Coturnix japonica: one gene and its partner. The protein of the gene in region 1 purifies or fractionates together with the protein of each later gene. This does not show direct contact. Links are inferred from orthologs where the notes say so. Each region holds a gene or a part of one and is shown in the gene's direction. Other genes may lie near its edges.

The links.
Region 2: the proteins of MYO1E (region 1) and OSTF1 purify together in Homo sapiens (co-immunoprecipitation; 3 studies listed by BioGRID and IntAct, counting the BioPlex papers as one, with this or other methods). This does not show direct contact. The link is inferred for Coturnix japonica from reciprocal best matches to the Homo sapiens genes MYO1E and OSTF1.

What each region holds. Positions count from the first base shown.
Region 1 is NC_029525.1:5,793,342-5,797,244, forward strand, and holds part of MYO1E (unconventional myosin-Ie), read left to right. Parts: intron 1-493; coding exon 494-579; intron 580-1,158; coding exon 1,159-1,240; intron 1,241-2,379; coding exon 2,380-2,486; intron 2,487-3,903. UniProt on the Homo sapiens protein: Actin-based motor molecule with ATPase activity. Unconventional myosins serve in intracellular movements. Their highly divergent tails bind to membranous compartments, which are then moved relative to actin filaments.
Region 2 is NC_029547.1:33,132,432-33,136,927, forward strand, and holds the start of OSTF1 (osteoclast-stimulating factor 1), read left to right. Parts: upstream 1-1,441; 5' UTR 1,442-1,604; coding exon 1,605-1,638; intron 1,639-1,933; exon of another isoform or gene 1,934-2,025; intron 2,026-2,030; coding exon of another isoform or gene 2,031-2,041; exon of another isoform or gene 2,042-2,122; intron 2,123-4,496. Other genes in the region: NMRK1 (nicotinamide riboside kinase 1), read right to left, coding at 215-274, 2,031-2,041.

The sequences.
Region 1 (3,903 bases):
GCTGTCAACCATATGAATATAATAAAATGGTGCTTTAAAAGCCCCCTTGCATAACAGCAGTAAGTTTTAAGCATCCAGGCATTTTAAAATGATCCTTCAGTGATGATATACCAGTCAAATTAGAAGTGTTCTGTCTTAATTTGGATGTATGTCTCATTCTACTCATTGTTTCCTGCTATTATATTTAATAACAGTACATCGTTATGCAAAATATTTTTCTTCTATAAATTTCAGCATTAAATTCACTTGTATTGCATTCTACTGACTTGTTTGTAGGTCCTTTTTTGTTTAGCTTAAGTCTATGGATGTAATTCCTTTGTTGTGAAAGAGTCAAGTAATACATGCAAGGATTTACTCATCGCTATACTGTCTTTAAATAGTATCAGACTAGCCAAAATTTCAGAGCAGCTACTGTTGAGGACAGGATATATTTTTTTCTGTAATTATTGGGTTCTCAACTTACCACAAACAATCAATTTCCACCTTGGCCCAGGTATCTTATGATATGGATGGATTCTGCGAGAGAAATCGGGATGTTCTTTTCATGGACTTGATTGAACTCATGCAGAGCAGTGATTTGTACGTAAGCAAAATTTGCTTAAGCTAGGAATAATGTGTGCTAGTTTAGATGGATGCAGAGGGCCTAACATCTCTACTACTTCACATCTTGTGAGCTAATTCGCATAAAAATGGAAATGAACCATCACTACAGTAAAACGGTATAGCTTCTGTTACACTTGGTCTTCATTTCCTGCCAATCGGAGTAAGTAGGGTGCTGAAATGTCAGACTCAAATGGTATCATATATAAGATCAATATTTTTTTGCCTTGAAGAAAGCTGTCACTAATGCAGCATTATTATAAAATAGGCACTCTTTGAATGTATAAAGTAACATTTTTTCTGCTATGTATTTTAATTGAGGCTTTTTAGGAAGCGCTTTGAGTCTGGAAGACTGGTGTCTCATGTCTTCCAGAGCTCACTAATATAGAGATCTCTGTGAGGAATGAGGCTCATGGAAAATACTGATCTTAAAATAGATTTGATAGCACTCTGGATTAATATAAAAAGCTATTTATATTCTGCTCGCCTATCAGCTTTTACATCATATTCTTCTCCATTTCTGCACTGAATTGTCTTTCTGTACCAATTCTTTTCTAGGCCTTTTATAAAGGCTCTGTTTCCTGAAAATCTTCAAGTAGACAAGAAGGGTCGTCCCACCACCGCTGGCAGTAAAATCAAGGTATGGCTGTTCTTGTATATGCATATATGAATGTGGCAGTTTGTGCAACGATACCTCAACTAAAAAGAAAGTTAGTCTTTGTTTTTATTATCCAGACTTAGCAGTGCTGTGTTTGCAAAGCATTGCGTTGTTTCAGTTGTTAGAATCGTGTTCTGCCCAGCATTGCTGCTCATTAAACCTTTTGTTCAGCTGCATTTTATGGTGCAGAATTTTCAAAATGAGCAATTGATGGCAGTGGTGATAGTCTTTGCATGTGCGTGATGAATGAGCCCCTTCACTCGGCCACTTGATGTCCTACAATTAACTACAGATAACTGGGCTCTTTATAGTGCAGAAATGCAGCAGGGCCTGATCCTACACCCACTGAAGTCAACAGAAGTCTTTCTATTGACCATAACGTGGGCTGGATAAGGCAGTGAGTGTTAGAAGGCAAGCATCGATTTTGTGTGTGTGTGTGGTTTTTTTTTTGAGGCTGGCTGTAAAACATACATTTATGTGTACTTGAAGACTTTGCAAACAGTATTTTTTCAGCATCTTTCTTCATATTTCAGCCTTACAGTTTAAACCACTGGACGCATTCCCCATACTCACCACTCTGTATTTTTGTATAGTAGATAAAATATATTGTATTACATAGCTGGAGATAATGGGGACTTCTATTTAATGCTAATATTTTCCTGAGAGACTGGTGGAAGGTGATGACTTTTCATTGGATGTGTTTATCCATCTTTTACAAACATGTTCATAGAGACCAGTGTGCGTTAGTTTTAAATAGAAAGAATAACATGATAGGGGAAAATGATTAGTGGAACAGGAGAAAACTATCCAGTAGTATAAAAATAATAAAAGGAATGATTTCCTTACTTTTGCATACTTTTGCTATTGACTGAGTTGTTGTTTTTTTTTTTTAATTCCTCCCTCGTACCTTACACAGAAATAAGTGACTGTCTGTTGATAGCCTTCATATGCTAAAAGCTCAGCTCTGTTACTGCTACATACTGTCCCAGGACACTTCGGCCTTTCTGGAGAAGAACCCAAGCCACGTGGATCATCAGCACAGGGCTGATACCCTGAGAACTCTCTCAGAGGATTTACTTTGTTCACCTCTGTTTCTATAATGTTTTCCTTTAATTTTACAGAAACAAGCAAATGATCTTGTTGGCACCCTCATGAAGTGCACACCACACTACATCCGCTGCATCAAACCCAATGAGACCAAGAAACCTCGAGACTGGGAGGAGAGCAGGTATGAATAAGCAAGAGTGTGTGATAGGAACGAGCACTGAGTCCAAGGAAAAAAACAAAGCTAAAAAAAATCATGTTTTTTAATCATATAACCCACAGACAAATAGAACTGGATAGTCTAAAAGCCTTCAGAAATTATCTCTCCTAAATCTAAATAATTCTAAATTAATCCTGACTTTTGCTTCATGCTTTTGAAAACAGCTTTTATTGGGTAGCAGAAATCCAGCAGGGTGTCTGAATTTACTTTCATGAAATGAACAAAAAAAATCACACACACACAAAAAAAAGAGAAAACATGACACATATATTATATATATAGCATATATATATGCATATTATATAAAATGACATAATATAGTTTTTGCTATTGTTTTTTACTTACTGAATTTCAAGTTCTGTTATCTATCTCTTCAAAGAGAAATTGATAGACTGATCTCAGGTGATTATACAGACACTGGATTCATGTCTAAGTCTTTGGTTGATTGCATTTGCTTTAAGGCATCTTTAAGCATATGGTACTTTTTAGTATTATTTTTTAGTTTAAAAAGAGATGCTCTTCTATTTCACACTGAGGTAGGGTACGTTACTAAACATTTTTAATCATACATAAGTACTTTTTGTAGTGGTAAAAGTGCTGATGTTTGCAGTGTGGAGTTCTTTTTTTAATCACAGTGAAACAATTTGTGAAGTCTGATAAAGAACATTCTTGACCACATCAACAGCACACCAAAATTCACTTCCTGCCATTTGGCACACAGACCAGCACAATTACATGCAGATGTAGAGCATTTACAGAAGCCACAATCATGGCTGCCCCTTGAAAGTGTCATTTAGGTCTTGGCAGTAAATGTAGATCCTTTCTCTTAAGTTTTCCTTCCCTTCCCACCCCTTAAAATTCTGCTGTGCACCACTTAATTCCACTTTAACACTGGGAGAAAAGTTACTCAAGTGAAAGTATGCCTAAAACTTGTAGTGGAGTAAAAAACGTGTACATTGGAGGGCTGTTAAAATCAATCATTTACATATTGGAAAATAGGCCTTTTATTGTGGAAATTGTTGCTAGGAAACCAGTGAAACAAACAAACAAAAACCCAGTCCGACGAAAGGGCGGCTTTCAGGAAGCCGATTCTGGAGTAAAAATAGGCAAGATTTCAGTTTTTTCCCCACATAATGGGGGTGATATTTGGTAAGAACGGCAGCTACTGATGCTAAAATAATTAAATACAAGGATTGTGTGTTATCAAACTCAACTAAAATGGAATCAGTTCTTACGATAATGGTAACTTTTAATCCCCACTTGAAAATACTAACACTCTGTCCCTATTCAAGCAATTTCTCAAATATTATACGTCAAATAGTGGCATATCCAAGGAAAAGAGATGTAAGCATATGCACATTTCAACTCAAACTTCAGCTTG
Region 2 (4,496 bases), on another chromosome or scaffold:
ACACACTCTTGAATTTTTCTGGCAAGTTCTAACAGATTTTAGAAAGTAAATCTAACAGCGACAAGAAAGAAATTAGAAGTGGTACCTAAGATCTCCAATAGAGAAAGGAATAATTTCCTAGGAGTTACATGTTTACAAAAAGTCCATAATATGCTGTATTTGTAAGCTATTTTCAAAAATGATCCATTCAGGCGTATAATTTTTTCATGCTTACCCTCCAAGGCCAATCACCAGTATTTTCATTGCTTGTTTTCTCTTCAGTTCTTCCTTTACACTGTCAAAAACAGAGTCAGAGAAAACTCTCAAATCAGAAAAAATAACAGCACTTATTAAGACATTCCAGCCTTATGTAGTATTATATACTTGTTTTCTGTCTTTTTTTCCCCCATAAGCCTACTGTCAGAACCACAACTGCTTGTTCAAATGCTAACAAAACCCTCCAACACAGATGCCGCATTACAGATTTCTATGCGTTTTACCTAGGTCAGTATTTGATGACTTGAGACAGACCTTGAGAGATTCAATTCTACCACTGCTGATAAGCACAGAAGTACCCGGATAAAAAACACAACCCCAGCTCAATCATTAACAGTATCCAAATGTCTGGGTAAACAGGTGCTGAGGTGGAAAGACAAACAAACAAAAAGCCAATTAAAATAAAAAACAAATACCAGTGTTGTGCTGAGGGAAGAAAAATGTTTCAAAAATCCAGTAACTCCCAAATTCCACCATTCACTGTATGTTTATGGCATTGGCTGTCTGTGTGGAGCCAGAAAACAGACTACCTGCTCTCAGGATATGATGAAACATGATCTGCAAAAACCCCACTGCTGTTTTCCAACCAAGCTGTCACTGAGGTTTGTGTTCTGGGGGATTAGCCTTTGTCCCACAAAAACTCTGCAGCACAACCCAAATAACATCTGGGCGCACACACTGAGCTTTGGACTCAACTTACGTCACTGGCTATACAAAACTTTATCCCAACCAACCCACCAACTCTGCCTCCCTCAGAACACAACGTAGAACCCAAACTGCGAGGGCAAACTGGCCTCCAGCGTTGCAGCACACAACTCCAAAGTTAACTCGGCCTCTTTAAAGGGCCGAGTGAAGTTCCACGACAGTTCCCTCACAGAGCTGCCTCGGGCTGAGCATTAAACGTGCGACGACAGCATCCAAACGAGCCACCCGCCCCAGGAGCTCCCACACGGGAGGAGCGGACCCGCGGGACCCACACACCCAAACAAAGCCCACCCCCTACCGCCACTAGCCGTGCTCCGGCTGCCCAGCCGTCACCCGCCCTGCGGTGCCAGCTCCGCCCCCTCCGACACAGCGCGGTCCGATTGGCCGCCCTCCCTTCCCCGTGATCTTCCCACCGAGGAAAGGAGAGAGAGGCGAGGATTGGCTGTAGGGTGTTTCGGGCTGCTGCAGCGATTGCCGCTGCCGCTGTGGGGCGCTGCGCAGGGTACCGGCGGCCGCCCGTCCGCCCCCTCCCTTCCTACCCGCAGCTGTCGCCGCGCACCGTGCCCAGCAGCCCGGAGCGGCTCGCCCCGCTCTGCCCCACCGCCCCGAGGCACTTGCGCAGCTCGTCTGGTCCCGCCGCAGCCATGTCCAAGCCACCGCCCAAGCCCGCCAAGCCAGGTAAGGGAGGGTCCCCAAGACTAGTCCCCCCCTCCACCTTCCCCTCTTCTCCCTGTCAGCGCGGGGCCACCGTGGGCGCGGGCGGCCTTTGCTGGCTGACACGTGGACAGCGGGAGAGCGGGGCTCGGGCTGTCAGAACCGGCGGCCCCCGCCTCTCCCCGCCCCGCCGCCATTAACGTCGGCGCCGCCCGAGCGCTGCGGCGCGGGCTGCGGGTCTGTCCTCGGGCACACCGCAAGGATCTTCGTTTCTCAAAACTCATAGCGAATCGCAGGGTCTTGTAAAAACACTGCTGACCGGGTTTAGGAGCACTCAGTGCGTCATCATCCACCTTCTGCTGATCTGTTAAAGCCTCAGAACTTCTTCCAAGTAACAGTTTCCTCTGGTATCTCACCCACTGAGCATCTTTCAGAGTTGACCTGAAATAGGAAAAAGGCAACGATAGGAGCCCCGACGCTGCAGTTGCCCTCTGGGAAGGTGAATGAAGTGCTGTGTGGGCTTCCGGGAGATGAGAAGGGTGTGGTGCTGCTTTTAGCAGCCAGATATGCGGGAAGAAGCTTTTTTTTCCAGTCCTCCGATTTGCAAAATGATTGGTTAGGTTTAGGGTAAGAATCTTGCAAATTTCAAGGATTTATACTGTTCAGCCTTGCGGAGTTATCAGGCAGGCTAGATGTTCTATGCCTAATGTTGGGCATCCCCAGCCTGGGCAGGCTGTGGTAAGATGCAGGTTGCTGCCAGACAGACAGGCTCGCTGTGCCCTCCCTGTCACTTTGTCCTTCAGTGAGGTGGCACGGCAGTCTGCTGGTGCTCTGGCACTGCAGGGTTCTGCTCATGTTCAGGTTATTTTCATGTTTTAATGAACTTGCTGATCTGGTTTACCACATGATCACTTGACACAGCAAAAGGAAATGGGTGGAAATAAATGGCTGAAGAAGAAAGAGGAAGAGGATAAGACTTTCTTAGTAGTTGCTCATAGGGGTCACGAAAGTCATTTTGTGGAGTCCCTTTTTTGAAGAAGGAATGTCTTTACAGATGCTATTGTGGAATATTTTTTTTCCCAAGTCATTTTCAGGAAGAGGCAGCCTTCAGACTTCCTCCAAAATATTTTGTCCGTCTGCCCTTATAAAACCAGTTATGCTTTTAACACTGAATTTCATTCGGGTTGTAGACATTAAAGCGTACTGAGTTAAAGACATAAACGTGGAGTCTGTGTGTGCTGAAACTAGAGTAGCACAATGCTCTATTTGTTACTAACTTATATGCTTCACGTGGGGAAACGTCTTCTTGGTTCATTTGCTGAAGTTATGTTATTTTTTCTACACTGACTGTTGTCTGGTATTCAGTCTGTAAACCGTCCTGGCTTTTTCACAAAGCAGCAATCTGCTTGCCATGCCGCAATTCAAGCAGGTAGAAGGAAAAATAAGACTTTGGCTGCTGTAGTCCTTTAAGAAATGTTCGGGAAGAAAACGTACAAACTACATGGAGATGGAAGGAGATAGAGTTGATGGCAGGGAACTGTGTTTAGTGTTATATTCATTTCTGAAACAACGAGCGCATTCCTCACTCTACTGGTGAAGATTACAGTTACATATGAATGCCCAGACAGTGCCTTGAAAATGTGCAAAACAGGATGTGCTAAGGGAAAAATGTTAAGTATAGCAGTGAATGGGGTTTTCTTCAGTACATGCAGGATTTTTATTTGATAGAAGGCTCTTTCATTGTAATAATCTGGCTGCGTGGGCAGTGCATTGTGCTTCATCTATGAAGGAGAAGGCTTAGATATCAATAGATTCTAGAAAATCATCTAATAATGTTTGTCAGCTCTCAAGCCTGTATTCTGGGGCCTGTAGTTAGCCCTTGAGTAAGAAGGCTGTGAGTGTTTTTCATGGCTTTGGGAAATTTTTAATTTCTAGTGTTCCAAGACTTTCCTTTGAAACAAGCTTCTCAATTTGCTTTTCTGCAAGAGCTTTTTGTACTGGTTTGAAAGCTTTTTCTTCTTTCCCTATTCAAACTTGCCATTGGTGATATGGAAGAGTGAAGTGAGAACTGAAAATAATTGAAGCTTTCTTCTAAATCAGCATAATGCAAGAGTAGGATTTCCCCTCCATCCTTCAAAAGCTCTATTGATATCTCAAACAACATCGTTCTTTTTAGAGTTCATTAACCTCCTAAACATTCTGTGTCTTATGTTAATTCTAATTACAAAAGTTACTCAAGTCTTTTGAACCTGACAAGCTGCATTGACTCCTGTTAGTTGTCTCCTTGAATAATGGTGGTTATGCATTTTTGGCTAAGGCCTTATAAAGTGTGCAGTAAGAGCTCTTAGGAATCTGGAAATTCTCTTTTTTAAGAAAACAAAAAAAAAAAAAAACTTTGTTACTTTAATGTTCTCCAGATAAAGTAAGGTTTGTTGATCTCGGGCTAAGGTCCACAAAACAGCCAAGTTTTAGAGAGAAGGACCAGTCTTTGAAAGAAATTACAGTTTTAAATGATCCCAGTTGAGAGGAAGTGAGGAAGGAGGAAATAGAGTATGTAGCATAAAGGGACGCTACCTTAAAGTACGTCTGTTGCCTTTGCAGTTTTCTAAGTTAAGAGAAAAATTCTCAGTATAAATATTTAGTTAGAACCACAGTCAAGTTCCTTGCACATTGCTGAGGTAAAGCAGAAGCTGTGGCAGTTGCCATTCGTAGGAGCAGAAGATCTATGCTGAATGGCATCTCTATGGTCTCAGCAGTCCATCACCCTGGGTTGTCACCTTTGTATAGCCACAGAAGGGTTTCTGTTAGCTAGGGAGAAGTGGATTTGTGAGTCTGGGGAGTCATGCTGCAGTTGTGAGTTCATTTGTGGGGGAAATCAGCAG